5 linked regions of the Callithrix jacchus genome follow. The protein of the gene in region 1 interacts with the protein of each later gene in a biochemical or structural test. Links are inferred from orthologs where the notes say so. Each region holds a gene or a part of one and is shown in the gene's direction. Other genes may lie near its edges. The genes, in order: NF2, SPTBN1, NHERF1, AMOT and CD44.

Region 1 (5,519 bases):
ACTGATTTAAAGGGAAAGAACAGAGTTTAAGTTGTTTTTCTCCGCGTGACACATAAGCCTGAGCTGAAGTGGGTACTCAGAGGAGGTGCTCTTTTTGTTCCCCATGGGTGCAGCCCGAAGGGCCCTTCTGAAAAGCTGGAGAATGTGGCTTGTCACCTCTTGTCAGAGGGTCATGGGGGGCACTCAGCAGCAGGGCCCCAGGAGTCCAAGACTCTGGTTTGTTCTATTTCTGTTTTTAAGGCAGATCTGGGCGGGAGAATAGCACATGATCCCACTTTAGCTAAGAGCCCCGTGCCTTCCAGATGCGATCCGAGGAGACGGCTGACCTGTTGGCTGAAAAGGCCCAGATCACCGAGGAGGAGGCAAAACTTCTGGCCCAGAAGGCTGCAGAGGCCGAGCAGGAAATGCAACGCATCAAGGCCACAGCCATTCGCACGGAGGAGGAGAAGCGCCTGATGGAGCAGAAGGTGCTAGAGGCCGAGGTGTTGGCCCTGAAGATGGCTGAGGAGTCAGAGAGAAGGTGAGGGGACGCTGAGCACCAGACTGGTGAGGAGGCTGGTGAAGGGCCACAGTCCAGCCTGCCCTGAGGCTGAGCTCCATAGCAGCCATCCTCAAGCTGCTTCCCCATCTTCTGGACTGGAGGGAGGCTACTTCTTTGCCAATGGCGACTGATGCTTCATCCAGTTTGGGGCTGGCGCTACCGGATGGGCATAGGAACTCAGTTCTCCTGCCAGGTGCACCTCTCTGGTCGGGCTTGTACCTCTGTGATAAGCCCCTGACCCTCTGATGGCCGTGTATGCAGGAAAACCCCTGAGTATATCCACAGACTGCTTTCAGCTGAAGAGACGTGAGAAGGCTCTTTGTTCATTAAAAAAAAACAACAATAACAAGGTTCTTTTCTGCTTTCATTCGGTGGAGCTGCAGAACAGCAGCTGCTTACCTTTAAAGGGAAACTAGTGCCTGCATCCCCCAGCCTTCCTTGGCACATGGGGGAGGAGGGCTAGGATAGTCTCTGTGACTGGTATGTCCCACTCATGGCCAGGTTGAAGGATGGAACTGTTGTCTGTACTTTTGAAAGACTATTCTAGGCCTGCAACCTTCAGATAAACACTGACACATTCCCCACAGCTTTTGGCTGTTGATTTAGAGCACTTGAATTTGGCTTTTAGTTACCAAGGTGCATTCACTACAGTTTCCTTACCACTCTTTGCATGTCATTCTGGGAATATGGTTTCTTTTTGCCTGTCCTGCTTCGGCCCCCTTGCTGTATGCAGGTCACACTCCCTGTACATGGCAGATGAGGTGCAGAGAGCCTGCAGTTAGGGACTGGATAGAACACCCTGGTCTGCCATTTGGCTTGGACTAGGGACTGCACACACACAACCTGTGATGCAGGTTGGGCCAGGTCCCTGTGCCAAGCCTCACATGCTGTGTCCACCCCAAGCCCCGCAGGGTGAGGATCTTCACCAAGGTGCAGTGCCCTCAGTGACAGGGCTCATCTTCCTGCTGGAGAAAGTGGGCACAAGGCCTGCAGGTGTTTTACCCGGGGACTGTGAAGACACAGCTCTTGCATATACTGCGCTTTGCGATCCGATATAAGAACTTTGATCCTCCAGGCTTTTCCTTTGCCCAGCTTACTTTCACCCAAAAATAAAGCAGAGAAAGCTGCTGGTGCTTCCTCCAGCTCCTCCCTCTCCCGGCTGCAGACGGTCTGGTTTCTCTCATTCCCCACCAGTTTTCCTGCTCTTCCAGTTTAGATTTACCAGCTCAAATGAAAATCTTCAGGAGTGTTGTCCTTGCTTTGGAAGTTTTCATGTAAATGTCCCTGTCCCGCTGTCCTTTTTCGCCTCTTCAGGTACCATCCTCAGGGTTAACCAAGGTCTCTCCTTTGCACAGGTAGGGTGGGGTCTTTTCCCTCCACCTGCCCTGTTCTGTGATGCTGACATCTCCTCCTTTCCTTGCAGGGCCAAAGAGGCCGATCAGCTGAAGCAGGACCTGCAGGAAGCGCGTGAGGCGGAGCGAAGAGCCAAGCAAAAGCTCCTGGAGATCGCCACCAAGCCCACGTACCCGGTGAGCCTGTGGGGTTGCCACCTGGGGCTGCCTTAGCCCTGGTGATATTCTCTTTCCTTCCGGCCCTTCGGTTCATCTGGCAGTGCCTTCAGGCTGACCATTCAAGTAAACGCATGGCAGGATGAGAGGTGCAGAGAGCCTGCAGTTAGGGACTGGGTAAAACACCCTGGTCTGCCATTTGGCTTTGGACTAGTTAGTTGTCTCTCTGGTTGCCTAGATAATAGGCAACAGGGCCTTTTCCAGCTCTGGAATCTTTTTCATGTTCTAAGTAATATAGTCCCAGATTATCCTCAAGAGAATTTGCTCTCTTGCCTCTTAATGCTGAGCTGAATGTAATCTTCAACTATCAGTATATACCATATATCATAATTATAGTTTTGGGAAGGGATTGGCTGTACATCTCAGAGTGAATTATTGCTGTGCAAGAATGAGCAGCCAATCTCAGTTTCAGGACAGAGAGGCAGACTTCCTATTAAATGGGGTCACAAAATGAATAGAAGCCTCTTTCCTTCCTTTCTTCTGTGCATTCAGTTCAGCACTTTTTTTTTTTTTTTGCATATTTGTTCTGTATCCACATTGTGCCACATAGTTGGAAGTCTCTATCCTGACAGGTGTTCTCAGGGTGCATGGGTGCCTAGAGGAGGAGGACACAGCCCATCCTGGAGGGGCAGGAGAGGCTCAGTATGGTGTCTGCACTGAAGCTTGAAGTAGGAACAGGAAGTAGCCAGGTGGAGAAGAGAACATAGGGTATTCAGGATGAGGGCACAGATGCACACATGGCCCAGACTCATACACGGCACAGTCATGCACATGGCACATCCACACACAGCACAGACAAACACACACATACCCATACATACATTCATGCACATGGCACAGGCACATACATGACACAGATGCACAAAGAGCACCAGAGGCACAAGCTGCCTGGGGTTCAAGGTGGGGGAAATGTAAGCAGTTTGCTGTTGTCATATATCCTGGTTCTCTATTACTATGTAACAACCCACCCAAGCCAACCGTGTGGCCCAAAACAACCCTTTATTAGTACCTCTGGTGGCTGGTTGGGTTGACTGGGCCAGACAGAGATCCTTGCTGGGGATCTCTCTGGTGGTCACAGTCAGATGGTAGCTGGGACTGTAGTCATCTGAGCCCTCAGCTTGGCTGAACACTTGAGATGTGTGTGTTGTTTTTATTTATTATTACTGATGTGTGTGTTGTTTTTATTTATTATTACTTTTTTTTAAAATTTATTTAGAGAGTTTCACTCTGTCACCCAGGCTGGAGTGCGGTGGCACAATCTCGGCTCAGTGCAACCTCTACCTCCTAGGCTCAAGCGATCCTCCCGCCTCTGTCTCTTGAGAAGCTGGGACCATAGGTGTGCGTCACCACACCCAGCTAATTTTGTGTGTGTGTGTTTGGTAGGGACAGGGTTTTGACATGTGGCCCAGGCTGGTCTCAAACTCCTAAGCTCAAGTGATCTGCTCGCCTCAGCTTCCCAAAGTGCTGGGATTATAGGTGTGAGCCACCGCGCCCAGTCTATGTGTTGTTTTTAAAATACACACTGGAGCAAACTTTATACACTGCTGTATCCACTCTTTCCTCTTAGCAGTCAATCCTAGAGGAGATGATTCATATCACCTTTTTAATCAAGTTTTATTGTGTAGATGGATTATAATTCATTTAACCAGTCCCTCATGGATGAGTATTTAGTCTGTTTTCTTTTGCAGTTTTGAGCAAAATAGCACTGAACATCCCTGAACACAAATCTTGACACACACACAGGGATATACTGGTAGAATAAATTCTCATAATAGAACTGTGGGGTCAAATTTTCCATTTCGATACTCTCCAAAGAAGTCGTCCCAGTTCATGCTCTCACTAGTGCTACAGCAACTAGAACTTGTTTTTTCTGGAAATTTTTATGACGTATAACATACATATAGAGAAGTGCCGAAATTACAACTATACAGCTTGAAGAATTTTCACAAACTGAACATACCCATGTACCCAGCACCCAGATCAGAAAACAGGATGTCCCTGGCACCCCAGGAGCCTTCTCTTGCCACCCTTGCAGACGGTCTGCCTCAGGCCTTGAAAGTGTCTCAAATGAATGTGTCAAGCCTCTGCTCTTTCCCAGACACTGTCCTGGACTTAATAAGGGATACAAGGATGAAAAAGAGGCAGATCGTTTGCAGGAAACTTGCAAATAGTAGAAAGACACAGCCAAAAAGAAATCTTTTACAGGATGGAATCGCTGTAAAAAGAGCCATTAGAGAACCATAAACACAGCGTTAAGGGACAGCAAAGAAAAGGGTTGCTGGCTGGCTGGGAGGAGCTAGAAAGGCTTTGGTGAGAGACTGTGGTATTTGAGAAGAGCCTTGAAAGAGGGATGAAGTATAGGGAGGAGAAATGGGATAGGCAAGGGTACCGAAACGGGAAAGCAGTAGTCCAGGGATCTTAAAAAGTACGGTCTGGGACTTAGCAGGGCAAATCATGGGAGAAGCTGGGGAGCTAGATTGGGGCCCTCTTTAGAAGACCCTTTGTTCTGGGATGAAAGTAAAAAAAAATCTAATTTCATCACTCCTGCTTCAAGCCATACTCTGGTTCCATTGTCCAAGCCTAAACCCCTCGGTGGGCAGGTAGAGCCCTTTGTGGTGGTGCCCATCTCCCACCCCTCCTCTTCACATGGCAGACTCCTGGTACCCTTACTGGGCACTGCCCAGCCTGCTGCCATGCCTCCCACCGGCAAACCTTCTCCTGGCACTGCCTGGATTCCCAGCAAAAGCAGCATCTCTTCTAGCCTCTGTTCGCTTCCTGGCTACAGTGTTTACCTTATTTAACAGTGATGATCTGTGAACACATCTATTTCCTGAACAAGACTTTCAGCTGCTCAGAGCCAGGGACGATGTCTTGTTTTCAGCATCTCCAGCCCCTCACAAAGGGCCCAGGAGTTTCCTAAATGAAAAAGCAAGTGGGAGTTTGTGTTTGATTCAACTGAGCGTGAAGAATGGTTAAAAATTTGAAGGATGAGGGAGGATTTTCCTGGATTTATATTCTTTGGTATTGTCCACCTGGCAGTGGCAAATGTGGAGGAACTGAAGTGGAGGGATGGAGGCTTGTGGTGGCACTGGGAGGTGGGACCTGAGTTGTGCCCATCACCCTGTGGCTGCTGGAGGATTGGTTGTCAGCACAGTAGTGCCCTTCTGTTCTTGTATGACCCGAAGCTCCTAATCTGAGGTTTCTCATTAATAGCCCATGAACCCAATTCCAGCACCGCTGCCTCCTGACATACCAAGCTTCAACCTCATTGGTGACAGCCTGTCTTTCGACTTCAAGGATACTGACATGAAGCGGCTTTCCATGGAGATAGAGAAAGAAAAGTATGTAGCCCCTGTGCCCTGCTGTGGGCGGCCGTGAACTAGAGTGACGGGGCCCTTGGGAGGCCGGGG
Region 2 (6,189 bases), on another chromosome or scaffold:
TTGTGGTCATTGGTACTCTGAGTTCTCCAGCATGATTTTTTGCACTTAAGGGTAATACTTCAAAATTACGAGGCAGGTATACATACTGGGACTCTGAATCCTCGTCTTCCACATTTTTGGAATAATTACTGGTGCTTTACTAGAGTACCTTGCTAAGGTTGTGTGTGGACCCCGCCTTTTTTTTTTAAGGAAATTTAAAAAACAACGTAAGTGAGAGTGGAATGGGTTAGAGGAGGTGAATCATCCATCAAATGAAAATTTATTTAAGTACCATTGTCTGTGATAAAGAAATTATTTAAGAGTCACCATTTCAGAATAACATTGGAAGAATTAACTTAAATGGATGCATTTCCCAAATAGTTACTGTTTTCTTTGGTATTTCATTAACATAGTGGGTAGGGAGGTGCTGGGGTCCATAGTAAAAAATAAGTAAGTGAAAGGGAAACAATTTTGCTTTTTAGTGGATTTTTCTTATTACCTAATGAAGGCAGCAGCTTATAAGTTGATTCTGTTTAATTCAACAAATAGTTTTAAAGTGCCTGCTGTGTACAGAGTGAAGAAAAAAGAACCCTACCCTTAGAGTTTACCGTCTGGTTGTGTTGATTCACCTTCTGAGAAAAAATGTTATTTGCCTTCCTCAATTTTTTTTTCATATCTATCGGAAGTAAACATGGGTACAAACATTCAAACTGATGAAGGCCTAAAAGGAAGAATCATCTTCAGTTTGCTGTGACAATTTCACTTAGTTTTATTTTTAAATATTCATTTAAAAATACATACAAACATATAAACCCATCAGGCCAGGTGCTAGTGATCTGAGATATAAACATGATCCAAACTATTTGCCTTGGTTTTTTGGTTTTGTTTTAATCCAGGTGATCAAGGGTCTTTATGAGGAAAAGCCCTGGGGCTTTTTCAGCCTGGAAGGGCCCTCTTCCCTCTGAAAGCCCACAGTGCCGCCTTGGGCACCTTACAGAGCAAGGAGAAAGTCAGTTTCTTCAAACCGTTTTCTAAAGAGCATTTCCTTTCGTGGTCCTGGTGATTCTACCATCTTTTATTCACACTAGCGACAGTTGTGGAATTTCTACACAGCCTGAGGGGCCAGGTGACTGGGAAGGGCTACTGGGACAGGACAAAAATTCGAGGAAACGTCCAGTTTCCGTTTCGGGGAATACGCAGAGGGGAGAACTCAAGTCCCCAAGCCATCACGGGATCTTCCACCGCGGCCAGACGACCCCACTCCTGGGAGTGACTGAGCAAGAGCAGCTGGCCTCAGGTTCGAGCGGAGCCTGCGCTGGGACAAGCAGGAGTTGGATGAACCACTTGTAGGGTCTGCTCCCAGCTACGCACAGCGAAAGGGTGGGTGAAAAAGCATTCACAAAGGAAGAACACATTAACCTCACCAAGGAACGACCCCATCCCCCGACCCTCCAGCGCCCAAGGTTTCCCACGAAGAGGTCGCCGTCGCCCTTCTCCAAGCTGCGCAGAACCTATAAGGCATCACCACCTGCATCTCAAATCAACGAAGCAAGCGACGCTCCAAAACCTCCCTAAACACCCTCTCTCCCCCGCATTCCAAACGCAACATCAAGGGCGAAAAGAGGCTGCACAAGTCACGTAGAAAATTAGGCCGCCTCTTTCCTTGGCGATAATCGAATTAGCCTCAAATTAAACGTGAAATTGGCCCTCTCCGGCTGTGGGGACAAAGCCCCTATTGTCCTGCTCGGGTAGCAGCAGCAGCAGTGCCCACCCGGCCACGGCCAGCCCGGTCGGTCCCCGCCGCTGGGAGGATGAGGTCCGGACTGGGCGGGGGAAGAGCCTCCACTGGAGAGGACGTGGACGCGCCTGTGGCTCGGCTCCCTGGCCGAGCGAGCGCCGGGTGGGAGGCTGCGGGGCTCGGGGCGGGAGGACAGGGCCGGCGAAGCCGAGGGAGCCGGCGGGAGGGAGGAGGGCGGAGGGCGTGCGGGAGGGAGCCCGCGAGTGCGCGCGCCCGCCCCGCGCGCTCCTCTCCTCTCCCCGCCCCTCGCCCCCTCCCTGCCAGCGCCGTCCTCCCTTCCTCCCCTCCTCCCCCCGCCCCCCGCGCTCCCGCCCAGCCCCCGGAATCAGTGCAGCTGTTGCCGTGCAGGCTGCGGATTCCTCCAGTCCCTCCCTCGGCCGCCTCTCCTCCCGGAGCGAGCGCGCAGCCCTGCGCAGCAGCGCCCACTGGTCCCGTCCTGTGAGCCCCGGCCCCAGCCGCGGACAGACCCGCGGAGTCGCCTCCCGGCCTACCCGCCCGGCCGCCGAGGAGCGGGAGGAGGACGGGACCCCGGCGCCCCCACCCCATCCCCGGAGGTAGGTAGGGGACCCGAGGCAGGGAGATGCCAGCTCACTGGGGCTGCTTCCCGGGCGGGCTCCGCGGCGGCGGACGGGCGGGAGGAGGGGCGCGGGCCCAGGGCCGGAGGACGCCGATGCCCGCCTGCCCAGCGCCCGGGGAGTCGCGTGGGGGCTGGGAGTCTGCAGAGCCCGGGTGGGGGCGGCGCGGGGAGCTCGGGTCGCGGGTGCTCATTGGTACTCGGGTGATGCGGGGCGAGGGGCGGCAGGCTCTGCGGTGAGGCGGCAGCAGACCCGCCTTGCGCACCGCAGCTACCCGGCCCCAGCCCCGGCACGGCGATTCCTCCTCCGTGCCTCCGCCGCCGCTTGTCTACACCCTGGCGCCGTGGGCCCAGGGCGAAGGTGGGTGCGGAGCGGGCAGCCGGAGGGTCTATTTTCAGGTGCCCTCCCTGTGGCCCCGCGGGTGGGGAGTGGGGGCGGCGGTGACAGGGCCGGACTCTGCGCCTAGCGGTGCCGAGGATGCGGCCAGGCGTGGTCCCGGCTGCGCCGCGCTGCAGCTGAGCGGGAGGCGGCGGCCCCGCGTCCCACCCCCGCCCCCTCCCCGCGCTCGCTACCCCCCTGCGCCCGCCCCCCCCCGCCCTCCCTGCTGTCCCCACTCTCCCAGGGCTGGGCGTGAGCCGCCTCCGGGGCGCCGAGCCGCCGCTGCTCCGGCCCTTCAGCTCCCGCACCCTCTCTTCAACAGGTTTGTCTCTGCGCGGGGACCCTCCGGGCCTGGCTTAGGGACGTGGGCTGGAAGCTCCTCTCGTCATCACCCCCCACACCACGCCCACGGCCCTCTTGGGGGGAGCCTTCTCTTTGTTTTTGTGATAGGAAAGGTGCCAAGAGCTGCCATCAGATGGGGAGGGAGTGGGGATCAGAACACAAGCCTCTGTCCATTATTTTTCCAGTGGAAAGCCAGGCCAGATAGTGAGGTCAGGGTGAGTGTGGGGGTGCTTCGGCGGAGGAGAAAAACTAATTCGGTGGGGTTTATTTGGGCGGGGATGTGCTTTTTTGGCAAGATGGATGGCTCACGGTGCCCTCGCCGTGATGCAGCACAATGCAGCAGTATCGCAGCTTCCTCGGTTCTCGCTGGCGGGGCTTGGCACGGCCGCTCGGCGCCTGCGGCCCCCGCCCGGCCCCACCCAGGCCCGGGGCTGCCCTTGGCCAAGGCCTGGAGCTGCTGCTACCTTGTCTTTCAGCTTCAGCTGGATGTGGCGTCAGGAGGACCAGGTCACCCAGGTGTGAGCGGGGGAGAGTCTTCTCTTTTGGGATGATCCCTCCTGCACCTCTTGTTGGGCTGCGTTCCGCCGGAGGGGCGCCCTGCAGCACCAATGCAGGCAGAGGGGAGCCGGCCTGCGGATGCAGATCGGAATCTGATCTCCCACCAGCGGACCTGAGCCTTAGGGAGGGGCAGCAGGAAGGACCGGGCCCAGTCGTGTGCAGAGGCAATGGTGCAGTCAGTGTGGGGAATCGCAGCGTTTTTCTGTGGATCATCCATAATCTGTAACCATAGCCCAGCTACACACTGATTTCTTTCTACGTGGAAAGTTGGTGTTTATTAATTGGACCTTCACAACTGTGACATTATAGTACCTCGTCCGTCTTTGGTTAATACCAAGTGTGCATTTTTTCTATAGGAAACCATTTTTTAAATGAAATGATTAGTGTATTTTAGTTTTATGTCACTGACATTGAAATTCAGGTTGTTTTAAAAGATATTTATATTTTTAATGGACAGTAAATGATTCCTTTGGCGTGTATTTGTTTTGTTTTCATCGTTTGCAAGTAAGTCAAGTACAATTGCATTATTTGGATGCTTTATTAAGGATGACTCGCTGTGTGAGTGTCATGATGTAGGGTAAATTGATATTCAGATTTCTGTTGATTCAGATAGTGGAGTTAAGTGTCCAGGCATAACTAATGGGATTATGACAGTAACAGACTACATTTATGTTTGTTTATATGCATTTTTTGTATACATGTTTTCACAGCTGTGACTGCGGAGTGGGTGGAGAGGTGCAGAGCACCAAGGCCTCTTGACTGGTATCTAGTCAGTAGGAGATGGTTCTCATGTTTAGTCTCGGCCAGGACACAGGGAATTTCCCTTCTAAATGCCATTTCTATAATTCATTTATTCAGTGTGGGATGGCAAATGGGATAGACTTCAAATATCAACCCAGGCTCTTCTAAAATGTGTAGGTGAAAAAGGAAATTTCAGTATGCTAGCTAGAAGGGGAGCTCAGTGTTTGCAAGCCAAGGGCGTGCCTGCTTGTATTTTTAAAAATTTCTAATGAATCTAAGTTAGTGGTTTTTAATTTCATGTGGCTCTGCAGAATAGCACTGCATGTACATCGTGTGGTTTATGTGCATTATTTTGAGTTTCTCTAATAGAGAGCCATTAAAATATGGGACTTTTTGGATTTGGGCTTCATTGTTGTGCTGGTTGTATAAAATCGTGTTTTGTAAAGATTTTTGTGAATGTTGTTTCCATGGATCATCCAGACGTTTTGGATTTACTTTGTTGTAAGAAATATCCTGTGTTGATGTCACAGGAGGTTTAGCTGTTCTGACTTAAACACCAGGTGCGGAATTCTGTTGGGTTAAGCTGTTTGTAACTCTGTTGCTGCTGGAGTGACCAAAACCTTCCTCTGAGAGGAGAAGTATTGGGCAGTGAAGGAACTGCTGTCACTTGGTCATCTCCCACAGTTGAGGTTTTCTGTGAAGAGATTCTCTTGGGCAAGACTAGTAACAACTATCTGTGATGTTGTAGAGCAAATGAGAAGACCTCACTCTACTTGTGACACATCCTGAGCAGAGGCTTGGCATTGGCAGAGTTTCTTGAAAGAGTTTGTAGACTGATTGCTTTGTATTGATGTATGAATGTATGATTTTATGTGTGGACGTACTATTTTGATGTGGAAAGATTTTACTACTACTAAACAAACATAGACATGATTAGTGGAAATCATTCAATGTGGCTTTGTTGAAATAATTTTAAGCTTTTTATTTTAATAACATATTCTTATAGAACATTTTAAAGCCTATTTTTACGTGCAGTGACATGATGCTCCTTTAATTATGTTGCACCCTGACTAGTATCTTCATACTAGTCATAATTCGGCTTTATTTAATGTTCTGTGGATCTCCCTATGGTAGCCCTGGTTCTTTCACTACACTATCGAGAATGCAAACCATTCGTCCGTAAGGAAAGGGCTAGCTACCCCTGTTAGAAGAGCGAGCTTGGTAGGTGTGTGGAAGTGAGTAAAGCATCTCATGGATTTTTCTTGTAAGTTTTTAGTCTTTGCTTTTACTCAGAGCACCTTTTTTTTTTTTTTTTTTTTTTTCAAAAGACCTAATTTAGTACTCTGATTTTTCTGGTAACACTTGTAATTATATTTAAATTTTTATTGTGTAGGATTCTTAGGCCCCACTCTGAACTCAGCCAATTGGAATTGGCATTCTAACAAGACCTTTAAGTTAGTTGTATGCACGTTAAATAAAGAAACTATTCTGTTCCTTCAGCACAGGGACCTCAATATCAAAAGTTTCCTTCTTGTATTTTCCTTTTAATTTTTGCTGAAGTATCAGCACATTTTTTTTCTTGACAGTGGTGAAAAAAGCGAGGCACTCACTGTAAATTATTTAATATAAAATTATTTTATAAAGCTGTTCTTTAATTTTGGTGGAAGAGTCCTAAATAAACCTATACTATGGTTTATTTAGATTAATTAGTGTTTTAGGTTCTTTTGTAAAACACCTCTAAAGTTGCAAAACAGTTTTTCCCCCTCTGGAAGAAGAAGGCATTCATTGGTTTTGAGATGTCAGAGCTGGAGCCTAGGA
Region 3 (5,519 bases), on another chromosome or scaffold:
ACTTTGGGGTTCCTGCGCCTCTGTGAGCCGCTCACTTTTTTACCACTCCCTTAACTGCCTTTGTTGTTGGGGTGAGGGGCCCTGGAGCCTGGATTTGGGTATGAAACACAAGCAAGAAAGACCTGCCCAAGCTCTTAAAGGAAGGCAAAGTCACCCTTTAACCACCCCCAGAGACGGAAAGGCTAGGGATTGAGTCTCCTGCAGATGGTGGCAGCCTCCTGGGGCTGGCAAGTTGGGGCAGAGGCCCATAAGCCCTCCTGTGCATGCCTTCTCACCCCTCCCAGCCCCTCTCCACTCCCAGCTGGGGATTTGGGTTTCAGAGCAGCCTGGCACACACGCCCCCACCCCACCAGAATCTCACTCCCAGCTTCCTATGACTATTCATTAGTATTCACAACAATGGGAAAGTCTGGGTGCACACAGAGAGTTTTTACAGTTAGAAGAGGTTTCAGTCAGTTACCTCATTGGGCCTCACAGCAACCCTGGGAGGCAGATGGCAGTCAGAATGATCCATAAATGGCATGTCCCAGGTCACACAGCTCCTAAGCAGGGGAGCCGGAACCTGGCTCCAGGCCTTGCTGTTCATTGCCTGATGTGCTGAGTGATAACCCAGGGCCAACAGGCTGGACAGCAGTCAGTGGCCCTGCACCAGGCCTGGAGGAGGGGGAGAGGGACAGGGACTTGGGCATAGCATAGTCCTTGGGCACAGGCTTCGGCCAAACTGTTTTCAGCTGAGTCTGAGTGCGCAAAAGAAATCCACATGTGCCCTTTTAGTAGGTCCCACCCTCTAGGCCACAGCCACCCTGGGTTCCCATTAGCCCAGCCCTGCTCTTCTCGGTCCCCTCCCCATTCAGGCTCCTCCATTTCTGGGGTCGCTATGCTTTCACTGCCACCTCTGCCCCCGGGCAGTGGTGGGGGTGGGTCCTGGAATACCTGAGGTTGGTCCCCGGTCTTAGCCACATCCCCTTGCTGTGCCACACAACAGGATTTTGGTTATCTGCTCCTTCTGGCTCCCTTTTGGCTGGGCCATTTGGCTTGTTGGGGGTGTGAGGGAGTTCGTGTATATGGGAAAAAGCTTTACTGTAAACACACTGGCCAGCTTTCAGTAAACACCTGCCTCTTCCTTCCCTGCTGCAGAGAATGGGATACAAAGGGGCTAGGGGTCCTCAGTCACATGCCCCAGGTCCCCAGCCAGGCTGACAGGGGTGCCACACTGTGCCTCCTCTCCAGGAGGGCCAGACTGAGCCACCAATGGGGAGGGATAAGGGCTTGATCAACATAGCACGTGATTCACGTTAGACTGTCAGAGGGGCAGGCATGTGAGAGCTAACCTGGTCCCACCCCTCATTTGCCAGAAGAGGAAATTGAGGCTTGGACAAAGCAGTGTTTTACCCATGTCACCTAAGCAGTTTGCTGCAGTGCTGGGTGTCCATACAAGTCTTTTGAGTCCTGGGCCAGAACCCTCTCAGACTGCTTTGTAAGATCTAAGCACATTTGCATCCTTGCAAGCCCTCCTTGGTGGGGGAGATAGGGTCAGGCAGAGGACAGGTAAGGCAGAACCAGGGGCATCGTGGAATAGCCATGGACCCTCCCCTGTCCCCACAGTGCGAGCTTCGTCCTCGGCTCTGTACCATGAAGAAGGGTCCTAATGGCTATGGCTTCAACCTGCACAGCGACAAGTCCAAGCCAGGCCAGTTCATCCGGTCAGTGGATGCAGACTCCCCAGCTGAAGCTTCAGGCCTCCGGGCCCAGGACCGCATTGTGGAGGTGATGCTTCTCGTCCTCTTCCTATCTGACCACCCCCGCCCCCTGCAGAGCAGCAGTGCCAGGGCAGTATCATCATTAGCCCATGGGCATAGCCAACCTGGAGCTGCTGGGTGGATGGGAGGGAAGGCAGGGTGGTAGATGGATGGATGGATGGATGGATGGACAGACAGATGGACTGACTGAGTCCTTTCTTACCCTCACTCTCCCCTGGGCTCCTCCTTGCCAAGCAGACACACTCAGCACCTATGATTCATCCATCAATCAGGGAGATGTCTGGGGCCACCTCCAGAGCTTCCCTGCTGCCAGGCACACAGGTGGGGGTAGCAGTAACAAAACCCCACTCCCGAATTAGGCTTTTATCTTTGTAGTGATATATCTATTTTTTAATTTTTTTAAGATGGGGTCTCACTCTGTTGTCCAGGCTGGAATGTAATGGTGCTGTCTCAGCTCGCTGCAACGTCTACCACCTGGGTTCAAGTGATTCTCCTGCCTCAGCCTCCTGAATAGATGAGATTACAGGTGCCCACCACCACACCCAGCTAATTTTTGCTTTTTTTTTTTTTTTTTTTTTGAGACGAATTCTTGCTCTTGTTGCCCAGCTGGAGTGCAGTGGTGCAACTTGGGATCACTGCCATCTCCGCCTCCCGGGTTCAAGCAATTCTCCTATCTGAGCCTCCTGAGTAGCTGGGATTACAGGCATGTGCCACCATGCCTGGCAAATTTTTTGTATTTTTAGTAGAGACAGGGTTTCTCCATGTTGGTCAGGCTGATCTCAAACTCCCGACCTCAGGTGATTTGCCCGCCTCAGCCTCCCAAAGTGCTGGGCTTACAGGCGAGAGGCACCATGCCCAGCCCCCGAGTTAGGCTTTTAGACTCTTAAGACTCACTCATTCAGTGCACTGGCGCTGTGCTCCTGGGAGAGGAAATGTGAACCAAATGCTCAGGCAGGTCCCAGAATCACAGTCTTAGAACCTTAGAGCTGGAGATCAGCTCTCCCAAGACTTCTCATTTTACACGTGAGAAAACCAACGCCCAGAGAGGGAAGTCGGACAACAAGTCCTTACCCAGGCTGCCCCACCCGGCCTCCCAGCTCACTCTCATCCCATCTCTCCCATCCCGTCTCTCCCAGCTGTGTTTGTTTAGTCTCGTCCGGATATTTTCATTGGCCTTTCCCATGTGTCCTGCCTCCCCAGCTGACTGGCAAATGGGAGGACCCCTGGCCCAGTCCAGGACTTGCAAACATGGTGGGGGTCGGTATCCCCAGGTTGTGAACTGCAAACTGGTTGAGAACCAAGGTGCCTCTCCGACCCTACCCAGCCCTCCTCCACCTACCTGGCCCAGAACCAAGGCCCGTGCCCATAATGCCTCCCTGACCCCGCCCTGCAGGTGAACGGGGTCTGCATGGAGGGGAAGCAGCATGGGGACGTGGTGTCTGCCATCAGGGCTGGCGGGGACGTGACCAAGCTGCTAGTGGTGGACAGGGAAACCGACGAGTTCTTCAAGAAATGCAAAGTGACTCCATCTCAGGAGCACCTGAATGGTAAGCCAGGTGGGGATGCTGGCTAGAGGCCCCCAAGTCATGGATGTGAGCCAGGGCTAAGACTTTGCTGGGTCCCATGCGAGGGGTGGGCAGCTTCCCGGTGTGGGTGCTCCCTCCCTCTCCTTCAGGGAAGACCTAGAGGTGTGGGCTGGGGGAGCATGGGCCTAGTATGGGGAGTGGCAGTGGGTTTCTGAGGATGGCTTGTGACAGGGTCAGCTGGCACGAGGACAGTCAGAGGGACGACAGAACTTCTGATTCCTGGCCAAAGCTGCAGCCCCAAAGGGAGGCCTGAGCCCCCAATTCTGCCTCCACCAGGAAACTTTCAGAGCAGTGTTGATATGAGGAAAGGGTTAACTCCAGGGAGGCCTCCAGCCTTTGCTTGGTCAGATCAGAGTCCAGTGACAGGGCCCAGTGCCTCCCCCTCCCTCCTCTCAGGTTGTCTTGGAAACTCAGCCTTGCTGGCTCTAGAGAGTAGTGGGTCCCCCTTCAGCCCCTGGGCCCCTGCCCTCCCCATCCCCCATCACCCTGCCAGGTCTGGCACCTCCCCCTGCCCAGGCCAGAGCTAAACAGGGCAGGGCTTCTGTACCAGGGCAAGGAGGGGTTAAGCAGTGCTCTGCTCCCTGGTCTGGACTTTCTCCCTGGGAAGATGGCTCCCTGGAGGGGGCAGAGGGTGTTCAATGGGCCATACTGAGGGTGGAACCTCTTGGGACTTTGCAGTATGCAGGGCGTTCACACAAAGGTCCCGCTGCAGACTCTGATCCCCAGCTGGAAAAGCCCACTGGGGAGGCCCTGTCTCCTGTCCCCTAATCTAAGGCCTGGAGGCTCCTAGACTAAGAGGGAATGGCCCCTGGAAGTCCCTAGCTGGCTCTGGGCATGGGAGGTGGGCACTGCCTTACCCTTGTCTCCCAAGTTTATGGAAACTCAGATAATCCCCTTCTCCAGTGAAGGGGAGACTAGGGCCCAGAGAAGCCCCAGCCTTGCTCCTAGGGATCTGGTACAAGGAAGACAGCTGAAATCTGGATTCCACTCAGCTCCTGAGATACTGTCCCCTGCTTCCTCCAGCACCCTTCCCCCACCCCTTCACCCCGAAGGTAATTGGCCCCTCAGATATTCCTCCCTCTCTGCCTGTCTCTGGCTGGAGGGGCTGCGGCCTCTGGCCAAAAGACCTGAAGAGGAGAGGCCTGGGAGCAGTCTCCTCCCCAGTGTCCCTCCAGGATGGCATCCTCACTCTCTCCACAGGGAGGAATGCCCCCCTCCGGCTGCCAAGGTTTCCCCCGACCACTGTGAGCTGATAGGGAGGGGACAGTAAGCGTCCCTGTGTCCCAGCAGCTGTCCTTGCCCCAGAAAGGCTGTGGGCGTCAAAAGGGAGAAGAGAGTCAGGTATCTCTGGCTGTGTCCTGGACCAGGACAAGGGAAAAGATGACCATGAATTTTAAGCCAAGAGTTCAGAAGAAGCCCACCTAGGCCGACCAGTCCCTAGAGATGGAACAGCCACCCCTGAAGCCATGTGGGACCCCTACCCTGAGTGAGCCCAGTGAAGGTGAATCCAGACCTGTCTCCTTCTGACCCCTCCAGGTTTCCCACTGGCTGGAGGAGGGGACACCCAGCACACACCCCTTGAGCCTTCTCCTCCCCCTTCATTTCCTGATTGGCTAATAAGAGTTGGGATTTAATTTTCTTTTCACCTTTTTTTTTGAGATGGAGTCTCACTCTGTTGCCCAGGCTAGAGTGCAATGACTCCATCTCAGCTCACTGCAACCTCTGCCTCCCAGGTTCAAGCAATTCTCCTGCCTCAGCCTCCTGAGTAGCTGGGATTACAGGTGTGTGCTACTACGCCCAGCTAATTTGTTGTATTTTAGTAGAGAAGGGTTTCACCATGTTGACCAGGCTGGTCTTGAACTCCTGACCTCAGGTGATCCACCCACCTCAGCCTCCCAAAGTGCTGGGATTACAAGCACGAGCTGCCACGCCCGGCCTGGAATTTGTACTTTTAACAAGCTTCCCAGGTAGGAGTTCCCAGGTAGGAATTAGGTAGCCATCCTGGAATTTCATCCCCATCCGGGACAATTCATTTTTTAAACACCTTGTGACCCATCAGTGACCTCATAAGGTCAATTTAGTAGATAGAGACCAGTTTTGTTTTGTTTTTTTTTTTTGCCTGAGTCTTGCTGTGCTGTCCAGGCTGCAGTGCAGTGGTACAATCTCGGCTCAC
Region 4 (5,519 bases), on another chromosome or scaffold:
GATACTTCTCTTCTTTTTTTTATTTTTTATTTTTTTGAGACAGAGCTTTGCTCTTATTGCCCAGGCTGGAGTGCAGCAGCGCAATCTTAGATCACTGCGAACTCCACCTCCTGGGTTCAAATGATTTTCCTGCCTCAGCCTCCTGAGTAGCTGGGATTACAGGCCTGCACCATCATGCCTGGCTAAATTTTTATATATTTTTTAAGAGATGGGGTCTCGCTATGTTGCCCAGGCTGGAGTGCAGTGTCTATTCACAGGTGTGATCCCACTACTGATCACCACGGGAGTTTTGACCAGCTTTGTTTCTGACCTGGGCTGGTTCACCTCTCCTTAGGCAACCTGGTGGTCCCCCGTGCCTGGGAGGTCACCATATTGATGCCAAACTTAGTGCAAACACCCAATAGGCATAGCACGCTACAGTCCAGAGCTCCTGGATTCAAGCAGTCCTCCCACCTCAGCCTCCCAAGTAGCTGGAACTATAGGCACGAGCCACTGCACCCAGCAATTTTTTGTATTTTTAGTGGAGACTGGGTTTCACCATATAAGCCAGGCTTGTCTCGAGCTCTTGACCTCAGGTGATCCACCCGCCTCGGCCTCCCAAAGTGCTGGGATTACAGGTGTGAGCCATCACCCCCAGCTGATACTTGTTGATAAGAATACTTGTGATGCCTGTGTAGGTACAGGATCTGATGGCACCTTAAGGCTCATTGTATTGGTCACATTTTCCCAAATATAAATTTGAATTTTAAATTTAAAAATAAATGTAGTTCCTAGAAAAATCTCACCAGCTGAAGTTAGAGCGGTCCTGCCTTGTTCTGGAAACGGCTCAGAATACTTTTCCTAGTGGGAGTTCTCATAGTAACTCTCTTTCAGCAATCCCTCCTCCCCACCCTTTGATTTGGTCCCTTCCTGCAGCTCAAATTCAACATCTGCTCTCATTCACTGGTGTGTGTGTGTGGGGGGGGCGGGCAGGAGGGGCTTAGCACCACAGCTGGGTGACAGGTGACAACCCTGAGCTAAGGAAATAGAAAAAGGAGTGTATCCCCAGGTTACATTCTTCTCTGCCCTCCCCTCCTGCAGCTGGGACTTGAGCTCTGGAGTACCCCAAGTGAGGAACCTTAGCTCTTGGCTTCCATTGGCTGCTGGTGAATAGGGTTATGCCTTTGATAGCTTCTTTGCAGCTTTTGTTATTGTGGAGCTCGTGTGGTTTGATCTCCCTACAATGTGAACTGTTCGGAGAGGTGAGGGTGAAGGTGGGGGAGGGATGGGAGGATGCCTTGTATTGTCCAGCAACTCTGTCCTTAGAAGACACCAGGAGTGGAAATTTCAGAGGCCTGAATGAAGCTGAGTATTTGTAAACAAACACCAAATCTTGGGGCCTAAAGGTGACAAGGGCTTATTACCAGTAGAGGATTTTTATATAGGAAAATGGCTTCTGTGTCCATTAGATTTCCTAAATCTGGATGAGGGTTGTTGGAATGGTCTGAGAATTGTTTCTTTCCAGCATTTCCCTGACTTTGTATTTTCACCCCTCATTTTAACTATATCCCTGACCCCATCACTTTGGTGGAAGAAATTAATTATATCCGTATACCAGAAACCCAGTCTGGCTGATTAGGTTAACAGTTGACACCCCTTCTCTAAACTCTCTCTTCAGGGTGACCCCAGCCAATTTTTTATAAAATCACTGAAGGATGAACCTAGCTCTCTTCTACAGGCCCTTTTTGCCAAAGGATCCATGGTGATTTTTTCTTTTCTTTTTTTTTCTTTTTTTTTTTTTTTGAGATAGAACGTCACTCTGTTGCCCAGGCTGGAGTGCAGTGGCCTGATCTCGGCTCACTGTAACGTACGCTCCCTGGGTTCAAGCGATTCTCATGTCTCAGCTTCCTGAGTAGCTGGGATTACAGGCGCCTGCCACTGCACCTGGCTAATTTTTGTATTTTTAGTAGAGACAAGGTTTCACCATCTTGGCCAGGTCGGTCTTGAACTCCTGACCTTGTGATCCATCTGCCTTGGCTTCCCAAAGTGCTGGGATTATAGGCGTGAGCCACCGTGCCCTGCCTCCATGCTGATTTTTTTTTGTTGGGGGGGTGGGTTCAGCCAGTGTTAGGTAAAAGGAGCAGAATAGGATTGCTGTTGTATGTTCCCCAAGATGGGAAAAGAGGCCTTAAATTTAAGTGTAACTGGAACAGCTTGAGTATTGGGAGAAGTAGAGGCTGACTCTGTGTCGAGGTACAGTAGAGGGGAAGGCAGAACAGGAGAAAAGAAGGAAAGTGGGGAAAATTAAGGTAGATTCCAGGTAAAGCTGGAAGAAATGAAAAGGCCCGAGGCTCATGACAGGAATAAGTAGACAGAGTAAGTTTGGAAAACCTTCTGCCACCCTCCTATCTCCTGCCCCTACCATCACCTAGCCCAAACCAGTGGATATATCCTTCTGTGATGGCTTCTCCTGGAAGGCCCCACTGAGACCTGTGCAACTTGCCCTTTTGGATACAGTATCTACACGGGGGTAGGGAAAGGATTAGTATAAGATCTTGAAATAGCAGTCTGCACACCTTGAGGAAAGGGGCTGCCTTCCAGGTGTGACATTCTCTGTGCGACTGGACAGCCTTGAACTGTAAATGCTGCCTAGAGCAGACCAACACCAGGCCTGCTCTTTCAGATGGAAATGTTTATTTTCTCTACCGAGTGCTTGAGTTACATGCAAAAGCTTCATCAGGCACCGGCCTTGCAGATCTTGTCTCTAAATGCCATTCACCAGTTTTCACCTTCTGTGCTGCTATCTTGGTGCCATCTGTGAACAGAAAAACACTTTTGAGTCTGTGAACAGAAAAACACTTTTGAGTCTGCTCTTTTCTGTGGTGTAAGCCTCATTTGTTTTCAGGCAGTCCTGTCTCTGGCAGAATTTTGGAGATGGAGGCGGGTTGAATCTTACTGGTTTGGCAACCTTACCTTTCCCCTAGTGTCCCACTAGGGGCCTGATATTTCTCCCCGTATAATACCCTGAGCTTTGTTAAGGAGCATAGTGGAAAACACAACAGGAATGCAGAATGGTTGCAGAGTCCAATTTAATCTGAAATTTGCTTAGTAGGCCATGGGTTTATTTGTCTTATACAAATTATATGCAAATATCTGTGTGGTTATTATATGTGCAATGGAGCTATACTAGTTACAGAAAGACTCTGGAGTCTAATTTCTCGTTTTCTGCCTGATTGTGGCTGATTCAGGGCAAGATCCTTTCTCTCTTGAGTTTTTTTCCCCCATTTTACAAGATTTGCAGGGATGTCATAAAACACAACTCTGATTACAAATTTCTGTTCAAAAATCTATACTGGTTTCCCACTGACTATGGGATAAAGTCCAAATGCCTGGCATTAAAAGCCTTTTATGATCTGACTCCAATCTATCTTAGCAGCCATATCTCGCCAGCTTCCTTCTGTGTACCCCACAGTGTCCAGCCAAATTAGACGACTGGTCGTTCTGGGAATGCATTTGCTTACTCAGAATAGAATACCCTTCCCCTCACCTCTGCTCATTGAAATCTGACCCAGCTTTCAGGATCTGACTCTAAGTGCCACCTCCTCCCAGAAAGTGTTCTCCTCCCCACTTCCTCCAACCAGGAATAACTTCTTCCTTCTCTGTGCTTTATGGCACTACTACGTTTCTTAAAGATGTATCTTGCCCTATATTCTTTCATTTGATGGATTGAAACCTCCTTGAGAGCAATGAGAATGTTTTCATTCATATTTACACCCCCCAGTAGTGTTTTTAAAAGTTCATGTAAATATTTGGCCCTTGGTCAATGTTTGTTAAATTGAACTGAACTACTTCATGAGGCTTGGGGTTTTTAGGGTTGGTCTCTAATGCTGACATTTGCTCTTCAGAGGCAATTTAACTTTTCTCTCTACTAAAATGAGAAGAGGTATCCTGCCTAGGCAGATACCAGTACAAACTGGAGCCAACATGAGAAAGTCCTTTGAATGGTTTGGAATAAAGTATCTACATACTATATATATTATTACTAATATTTTCAAAATTAATAATTTTTTGAGAAATTAAAATCATTAATAACTATTTATAAAATTTATTCTTAACTAGCTCCTCTGAAGGCAGAAACTATATATATATTTTTTTTTAACCCAAGGAAAGACCATGACTCAGTGAGTTAATTACCAAGCTTATGGTTGGACTTGGAGATCCTTCCTTGAAACTTTTCTCATCTGACTGTGTTATGCTTCCTCCTGGCCATCTGTGAGCCCTGAGAGAAGCTGTCACTGAGGATTTGCATGTATGTTTTCAGACCATTTTCCCCATCAATCTCCTATCATCACCACCATCTTCCTTTTTTTGTTGTTAAGGTGGAGACAGAAATCCAGCGAGTCTCAGAGGCATATGAGAACCTTGTGAAGTCATCCTCTAAAAGAGAGGCCCTAGAGAAAGCCATGAGAAACAAGCTAGAGGGTGAGATTCGGAGGATGCATGACTTCAACAGGGATCTGAGAGGTAAGGGAACCAATGGGCTTGTCTTTATACTTCTGAAGCAGCTGCAGGGTGGTGAAGGGAAGGGCCAAGCAGGATCCAGCTAGGCTCTTTGGGGTTGTTCAACCTATCGGTATGGGCAGTAAATGGCTGGGCATGTGCCAGGCTAATTTTTTGTGACTGCAATAATGCTCAGTCCCAAGCTTGATTAATCAAAGTGTAGGTACACCTCCCTGGTCTTATGAGCAATGAGCTGATGTCGTAGGCAGGATCCCTTCTGGGACTTCTGGAGCCACCTGGCCTACCCCCACAATAGGTACTGCCTCTTCTTTTTAACAAGTTTTGCGGAGGCATGCCCTTTGACTGTGCAAGCTTGAAGTATAATGTCCTTTCTTATTTCTGGGACTCACTGGCTTCTTTTTTTACTTTCACCTGATAATATTGAAGACTTTGGGAAATATTTCTACTTTAAAGCACCTTCAAAACTGCTGACCTTGGGGATGGTACTTTCTTTTTTTCTTTTTCTTTCTTTTTTTTTTTTTTTTGAGTTGGAGGCTTGCTCTATTGCCCAGGCTGGAGAACAGTGGTATGATCTTGGCTCACTGCAACTTCCACCTCCCAGGTTCAAGCGATTCTCCTGCCTTAGCCTCCCAAGTAGTTGGCTGGGATTACAGGTGTGCGCCACCATGCCTGGCTAATTTTTGTATTTTTAGAGACAGAGTTTTGCCACATTGATCAGGCTGGTCTTGGACTCCTGACCAGGTGATCCACCTGCCTTGACCTCCCAAAGTGCTGGGATTGCAGGCATGAGCCACCGCGCCCACCCAGGGATGTTGCTGTCTGTCTTAGAATTTTGGTTATTTTATCTTTAAAATCGGGGGCCCAACTACATGCTACCAGTTGTCCCTTTCTAGCTTTGACATTATGTGAGTTTAAAGACTTTGTAATAACTGTGATGCTGTTTTTTTTCCTGGTTAATGAAAGATATCATTATATATTTGGGGATGGATAATTTCATTGGAATTTAGAATTCTGTACTT
Region 5 (5,519 bases), on another chromosome or scaffold:
GCAACAACTGTAACAATTCTCTTATCAGTATTTGCGAAACTCAAAGGGATCTGATTGGTAACTTCTGGGCTTTAACAAATTAACATCACAACTTCTAGAAGAAAGTCAACCTTCATCTTGTAGGATAGAAATCATATGTTCTGCTAACCCATTCCGATTTAAGCTGAAAATAATAAAGGGTTACAGGTACTTAAAAAATCAGTATGTTTATAAAAGTAGTGATAGAAGGACTATAGAGTCCTTCTGTACAGTCACACACATACACTTCCTTATTTCTTTTATTTAAACTTTGAGTAACACGGCAGTATATATTTGGGTCAATTTTCCTTTTCTGGTAATTACATTCAGTGGTTTTTCCAACTTCATTCTTGTTGGGAATTAGTGATTTAGCCAGTGGGAGGTAAAACTTAAAGATTTCGGCTTTTCTTCCCCTCCCCCTGGATAACCAGTTACCCAAGAATGGCTTGGCCAATGTAAAGGTAAATGAGGATGGTATGCTTTATTTTTTAAATGTCATTGCTGTCACCAAATTACACATATCATTTTCTAAGATAATGAAAAACAGCCATTTTTACAAGTTGCAAAAAAATACTCTGACTTGGCAAGTTTACAGGCTCTCATTTTCTTGATCAACTAAAAACAATTTGCTGTAAGTTGTGTAGACAAAAATGTTGGTGTCTGACTTTTCCTGAAGGCACCTCTATGAAACTTTATTCTGTTGATTTTGTCCTTTTTAAAGCCATGGTTGAAATTGTAAGCCTGTCACACACTATTATTTGTATAATGCCTCAGACTAGCTTGGATAGTTTTTGTTAACTGAATTAATTTTGTTAAAAAGTGATTTTAGTAATTTTGGATGCCGTGTGGACATTACTATACAATGTGTTAGTGGAATAGCATCCAAGCCATCCCATCACCTTTCCTGCTGGGCAAATCCACTGCTGGTGCCTTTCCATTGTGTGTGATTATGGGTTACAGGACCACCATCTGAGAAGGTCTCCTAATGCACTGATCTTGTCATTAGTTGTTGTACAGTATTTCCTTTCCTCAAAATGACTGGAGCAAAGAGGTTATTCTTTGAATGGTTTTCTCAGACAGGGTATGTGATGCCATATACTATAATAAAATAAAAATAATAACTCATGGAACTATGAGAATTCATCAACTGTGGTCTGCTTAGTACTTTGATTTTGAACAAATCAAAACCTCTTTGGACCACAATTTTGACATCTGAAAAATTAAACGTTTGGATCATTTGATTTCTAATATCCCCTTTAGAATATCAGTGGCCTGTTTCTTTGTTGCCTTTCTTTTCTACCTTCTAGCTCCATGTGTATCTGCCCTTAAAGTAGAAAGATACAGCTGGGCGCGGTGGCTCAAGCCTGTAATCCCAGCACTTTGGGAGGCCGAGGCGGGTGGATCACGAGGTCATGAGATTGAGACCATCCTGGTCAACATGGTGAAACCCCGTCTCTACTAAAGATACAAAAAAAAAATTAGCTGGGCGTGGTGGCATGTGCCTGTAATCCCAGCTACTCGGGAGGCTGAGGCAGGAGAATTGCCTGAACCCAGGAGGCGGAGGTTGCAGTGAGCCGAGATCGCGCCATTGCACTCCAGCCTGGGTAACAAGAGCGAAACTCCGTCTCTACAAAAAAAAAAAAAAAAAAAAAAAAAGTAGAAAGATACGTGACAGCTATTGGCAAGGAAAATAGAAATAGACAATTTTGTCTCCCAACTGATATTCTTCTCATAGTCCAGGCAACTCCTGGTAGTACAAATGAAGAAACAGCTACCCAGAAGGAACAGTGGTTTGGCAACAGATGGCATGAGGGATATCTCCACACGCCCAGAGAAGACTCCCATTCAACAACAGGGACAGCTGGTAATGGATGGTTTAACAAGTAAATTTCGATGGCAACTTCCTTTTGGGTTAAATGGTAGACATTGAAGACATCGAACAAAAGGACACTGGAGGAATTGTCACAAGATGTTAGGTTCCTTCATAAATTATCTTGCAGTTAACACAGAGCCAAATCTTAAAGGGTCATAACAAGTTACCCAAACAGGAATAAATACAAGCCATTAGGAATAGGAACGGGAAGCACAGAGAATATGCCCTTAAGAATGTCTCTTTCACATCGAGTTTTGGGCTTCCTCTAGTGAGATTGTAGCAGAGGCCATTATAAAATACCCCCTTTTGTCATGCAAAGGAATATATTCTATAATGTGGGTCCAGAGTTACAATGTGATTTCTCACAAAGTATTTTCTTGTGATATAGCATTTTGTCAAAACTTTGAAGAAACAGAGCCAGACATTATGTGAAAAATGACACCTGTCTGATGTCATTTGGCTTTTTGGTCATGCCTGTTTGTAATTTGTTTTTTCAGTATTAAAAAGGCATCTTCTCTATTCTTGAATTGTAAGATTGTGGAAATTGGAATCAAGTCTTATCATCATCTCTAAGTGATGCCAGATAACTTGGCTCTGCAAGCACCCATGCAGAATTCTTTTGTCTGTGTGACATAGTATTGAAATCTGTCCTGCCTTATAGAGAAGGTGAATTCCATATTCTCAGTTCAGTGAGAAATAGTCCCATGTTTTTCTTTGCAATATAGAAGGTGATGCAGCATGTCCTTCTGGGGCATGGCAAGTTCTGAATGAATTCCTGGCAGATCAATGGATTCTTTGACTGTCTATGTGGTGTGGTTGTTGCTAAGAGGATGCTATTGTAATCTTTTCTACCTATACTTCTTCACTGGCTCAGAATGAAGCCAGGCATTTGCTGCTGTCTTACGTGTCATTTATGCCATAAGTCCCATTGTTAGAAGGTAATGCTTCTAATGGATTCCATTCATGCTTTTGAGATAAACGGCATTGACTTTCATGTTGATCACATGGAAAGCTGTTACTTGATTTCTTTCCTGAGATCACTTCCAGCCTAAGGTGCATTCGGCTGGAATATGGCTGTCTCAGTATGACATCATGCACTTGGGCTCTTATACTTCTGCTCTCAGGGGACTGTGGCAGCATGGCATGGGTCCAGAACTACTTCTCCTTCATCTTCCTTTGATGTCTGTAACTCATCCTCTCTGCGCTGCAGGAGTTGTTAATGCTTTTGTGTCCTCCAGTTCACATGCTGATTGCTAAGAAGAAAATGAGCATGAGTGAACTCGAACCTGCTGAAGCATTCTGCATTTATGCAACTTCCTTGCCCTCTATACAAGGAAGATGGTTGCACTGTCTTGTTAAGAGAATCAAGTCTTTTTTAAAAATAAAATCAATGTACCCCTGACCAAGCGTCCATTAACACTTTGACAATTGCTTGAACTGCATGATCACAACAGCCTCAGCCCACACCAGCCATTCAACCCAAGGAACAACGACATCAAGCCCAGAGGACAGTTCCTGGACTGATTTCTTCGACCCAGTCTCACATCCCATGGGACGAGGTCATCAAGCAGGAAGAAGGATGGGTAATAGCCTCTGAAATTTTTATATATTATGTTTTTTTGAAATCCACTGAGTGACTGTTGACTATTTTTCTGGAAATAAGCCCTTGGTTTTAGACCAGTCTTCTTTCCTGAAGGACTTGAGGTTCTTCAAAAATTTGTTTTCTTGGTAGGAGTGATATGCATATTCATCTGGTATGAACACTTGAGCTGAAGGTAAGGAATTTGTCAGGACAGTTGGCAAAAAAGACATTTATTGTCAAGATATATCTGGGTGAGGCAGTAAGTAATAGATGTGAAATGAATGTTACTAATAATGAATGCTAAAGAAATTCTGAGAACCCCTCCTCACCTACCATAGCATCACAGAAAGGTGAACTGGACCTGATTTATAAAAAATTAAAAAAAACTGGATAGTCAGAGAAAGGAAGTGGGTGGAGGGGTGGGGGAATTTTTCTAAGAAGGAGACTCATGTAAGGAGAAACATGAAGGGAGAAAAGCCAAGGAATGAATATTTCAAGTGAGTGGATCCATTTGTCACAAAGGAAGATATGTTTGAATGGCTAGGCCCAGCACACATGAGTTTGCACATGGCAGCTGAAGCTCTGAGGACACCCATGGGGGAAAACCAAGCCAGGCAAAGATCTTCGGAATCAATATTAAGTCTCTGTACTGATGAAGAGAAAGAGATTCCATTAAATAGATGAAGATGTCAAGGACAATACAATTGGCTTCAACTACACAATGGTGTGGTACCTCTTGAAGGACTCTACTGATAAGAGGGAAGATGAACAAGAGTCTAGAGCCCATCATCAAGTGGGACTTCTTCTGGGAGAATGTCCATTTGTGGCTTTGATTCAGGTTAGCCCTTGCTCTTGTTTGAAATCTGGGATAGGAGAGTCACCACATTTTTGTCCTACAAAGATCTTAAATATTTTAGTGTTGAAAGGCTGCAGTGCAGACATGAGTACCCAGTATTCTGGTGCTTTGCTGGAACTGATTAGCTCTTTCCAGAGGCAGTGATGTGGATGGATTTTGACTGAATTGGAGAGCCAGGAATATTGATGGGGTTTGGCCTCTGTGTCACTCAAGACCTGTTATTTCAGCAGAATAGATCTGTGATAACTATTAAAAACAACATTTGCAAGTATTCCAGTGAAATTTCTGCACTACTCAACATTGTACACGTTAAATTTTAAAGACTCCTTAAATTTGAGTTTCTTGAAAGAATAATTTGGTGACATCCACTGCTTCTTATTTCTTGCCCCTGTATACTTCCTGTAACTCCACCTAGGTGGTATTGGGTGATGATTTTGTGTTTATTTGCACATTCACTTTGTGAAAAGAAAAAGACTAAAGGGGGAAGAGGGCCATTTTTAAAAGCCCCTTTGGTTGGTAAGAGGGAGGGGATAAAATAGTGCCTGAGTCAGTGCACGTTGACTTTTCTCTGTGTGTCAGATTGCATGTTTCTGTAAGAAAGGCAATGTTTCTCTCTCTCTGCAAGATTTGGGTGTTCCATCATGCGCTCTTGTAGAGTGCTTCTAGACTCAGCAAAAACAAACACGAATCATAGCTTTCACATAACTCGGCCCTTCAAGGAAGGCCAGTTACTTGTTGTGGTACTCTGTAAAGAAACAATAATCTATCTCAGTTTTGGAGATATAGTCAATATGTGCTTTCTTTCCTCTTGGCCAGATGTGAAATATTTTGAAAAATCTGTTGTAGACCCTAAACCACCTTCATAGTGATTTGGGAAACCAAGCGATAACACTAATATTGATTCCTTCAGATATGGACTCCAGTCATAGTACAAAGCTTCAGCCTACTGCAGATCCAAATACAGGTTTGGAGGAAGACTTGGACAGGACAGGACCTCTTTCAATGACAACGCGTAAGGATAACAATGTTCAGCCCCTTTGTTGACTTGTATTCCTGCTTCATCTCTTAATCCCCATTAGCCAGGATGCAGAGCTTTGGTGGTGGAATGGTGCATTTAGTTCTATGTGGCTCCACTCAGCCCAGTGTGTGAAACTGTCTTCGTTGTCTATCTTTCTTGTGGAAGTCTCTCA

What was found.
Region 2: the proteins of NF2 (region 1) and SPTBN1 form a complex in vitro, tested with the Homo sapiens proteins (2 studies listed by BioGRID and IntAct). The link is inferred for Callithrix jacchus from reciprocal best matches to the Homo sapiens genes NF2 and SPTBN1.
Region 3: the proteins of NF2 (region 1) and NHERF1 form a complex in vitro, tested with the Homo sapiens proteins (2 studies listed by BioGRID). The link is inferred for Callithrix jacchus from reciprocal best matches to the Homo sapiens genes NF2 and NHERF1.
Region 4: the proteins of NF2 (region 1) and AMOT form a complex in vitro, tested with the Homo sapiens proteins (2 studies listed by BioGRID and IntAct). The link is inferred for Callithrix jacchus from reciprocal best matches to the Homo sapiens genes NF2 and AMOT.
Region 5: the proteins of NF2 (region 1) and CD44 form a complex in vitro, tested with the Homo sapiens proteins (2 studies listed by BioGRID, with this or other methods). The link is inferred for Callithrix jacchus from reciprocal best matches to the Homo sapiens genes NF2 and CD44.

What each region holds. Positions count from the first base shown.
Region 1 is NC_133502.1:200,269,391-200,274,909, forward strand, and holds part of NF2 (merlin), read left to right. Parts: intron 1-302; coding exon 303-520; intron 521-1,964; coding exon 1,965-2,070; intron 2,071-5,322; coding exon 5,323-5,450; intron 5,451-5,519. UniProt on the Homo sapiens protein: Probable regulator of the Hippo/SWH (Sav/Wts/Hpo) signaling pathway, a signaling pathway that plays a pivotal role in tumor suppression by restricting proliferation and promoting apoptosis.
Region 2 is NC_133515.1:60,056,357-60,062,545, reverse strand, and holds the start of SPTBN1 (spectrin beta chain, non-erythrocytic 1), read left to right. Parts: upstream 1-2,140; 5' UTR 2,141-2,331; intron 2,332-2,369; coding exon of another isoform or gene 2,370-3,085; intron 3,086-3,392; coding exon of another isoform or gene 3,393-3,843; intron 3,844-6,189. Other genes in the region: uncharacterized protein LOC118147173, read right to left, coding at 1,190-1,342, 2,370-3,085, 3,393-3,843. UniProt on the Homo sapiens protein: Fodrin, which seems to be involved in secretion, interacts with calmodulin in a calcium-dependent manner and is thus candidate for the calcium-dependent movement of the cytoskeleton at the membrane.
Region 3 is NC_133506.1:130,697,151-130,702,669, forward strand, and holds part of NHERF1 (Na(+)/H(+) exchange regulatory cofactor NHE-RF1), read left to right. Parts: intron 1-1,605; coding exon 1,606-1,767; intron 1,768-3,153; coding exon 3,154-3,307; intron 3,308-5,519. UniProt on the Homo sapiens protein: Scaffold protein that connects plasma membrane proteins with members of the ezrin/moesin/radixin family and thereby helps to link them to the actin cytoskeleton and to regulate their surface expression. Necessary for recycling of internalized ADRB2.
Region 4 is NC_133524.1:109,134,749-109,140,267, reverse strand, and holds part of AMOT (angiomotin), read left to right. Parts: intron 1-4,358; coding exon 4,359-4,503; intron 4,504-5,519.
Region 5 is NC_133511.1:100,549,368-100,554,886, forward strand, and holds part of CD44 (CD44 antigen), read left to right. Parts: intron 1-1,753; coding exon 1,754-1,882; intron 1,883-3,015; coding exon of another isoform or gene 3,016-3,071; exon of another isoform or gene 3,072-3,314; intron 3,315-3,345; coding exon 3,346-3,474; intron 3,475-5,239; coding exon 5,240-5,341; intron 5,342-5,519. UniProt on the Homo sapiens protein: Cell-surface receptor that plays a role in cell-cell interactions, cell adhesion and migration, helping them to sense and respond to changes in the tissue microenvironment.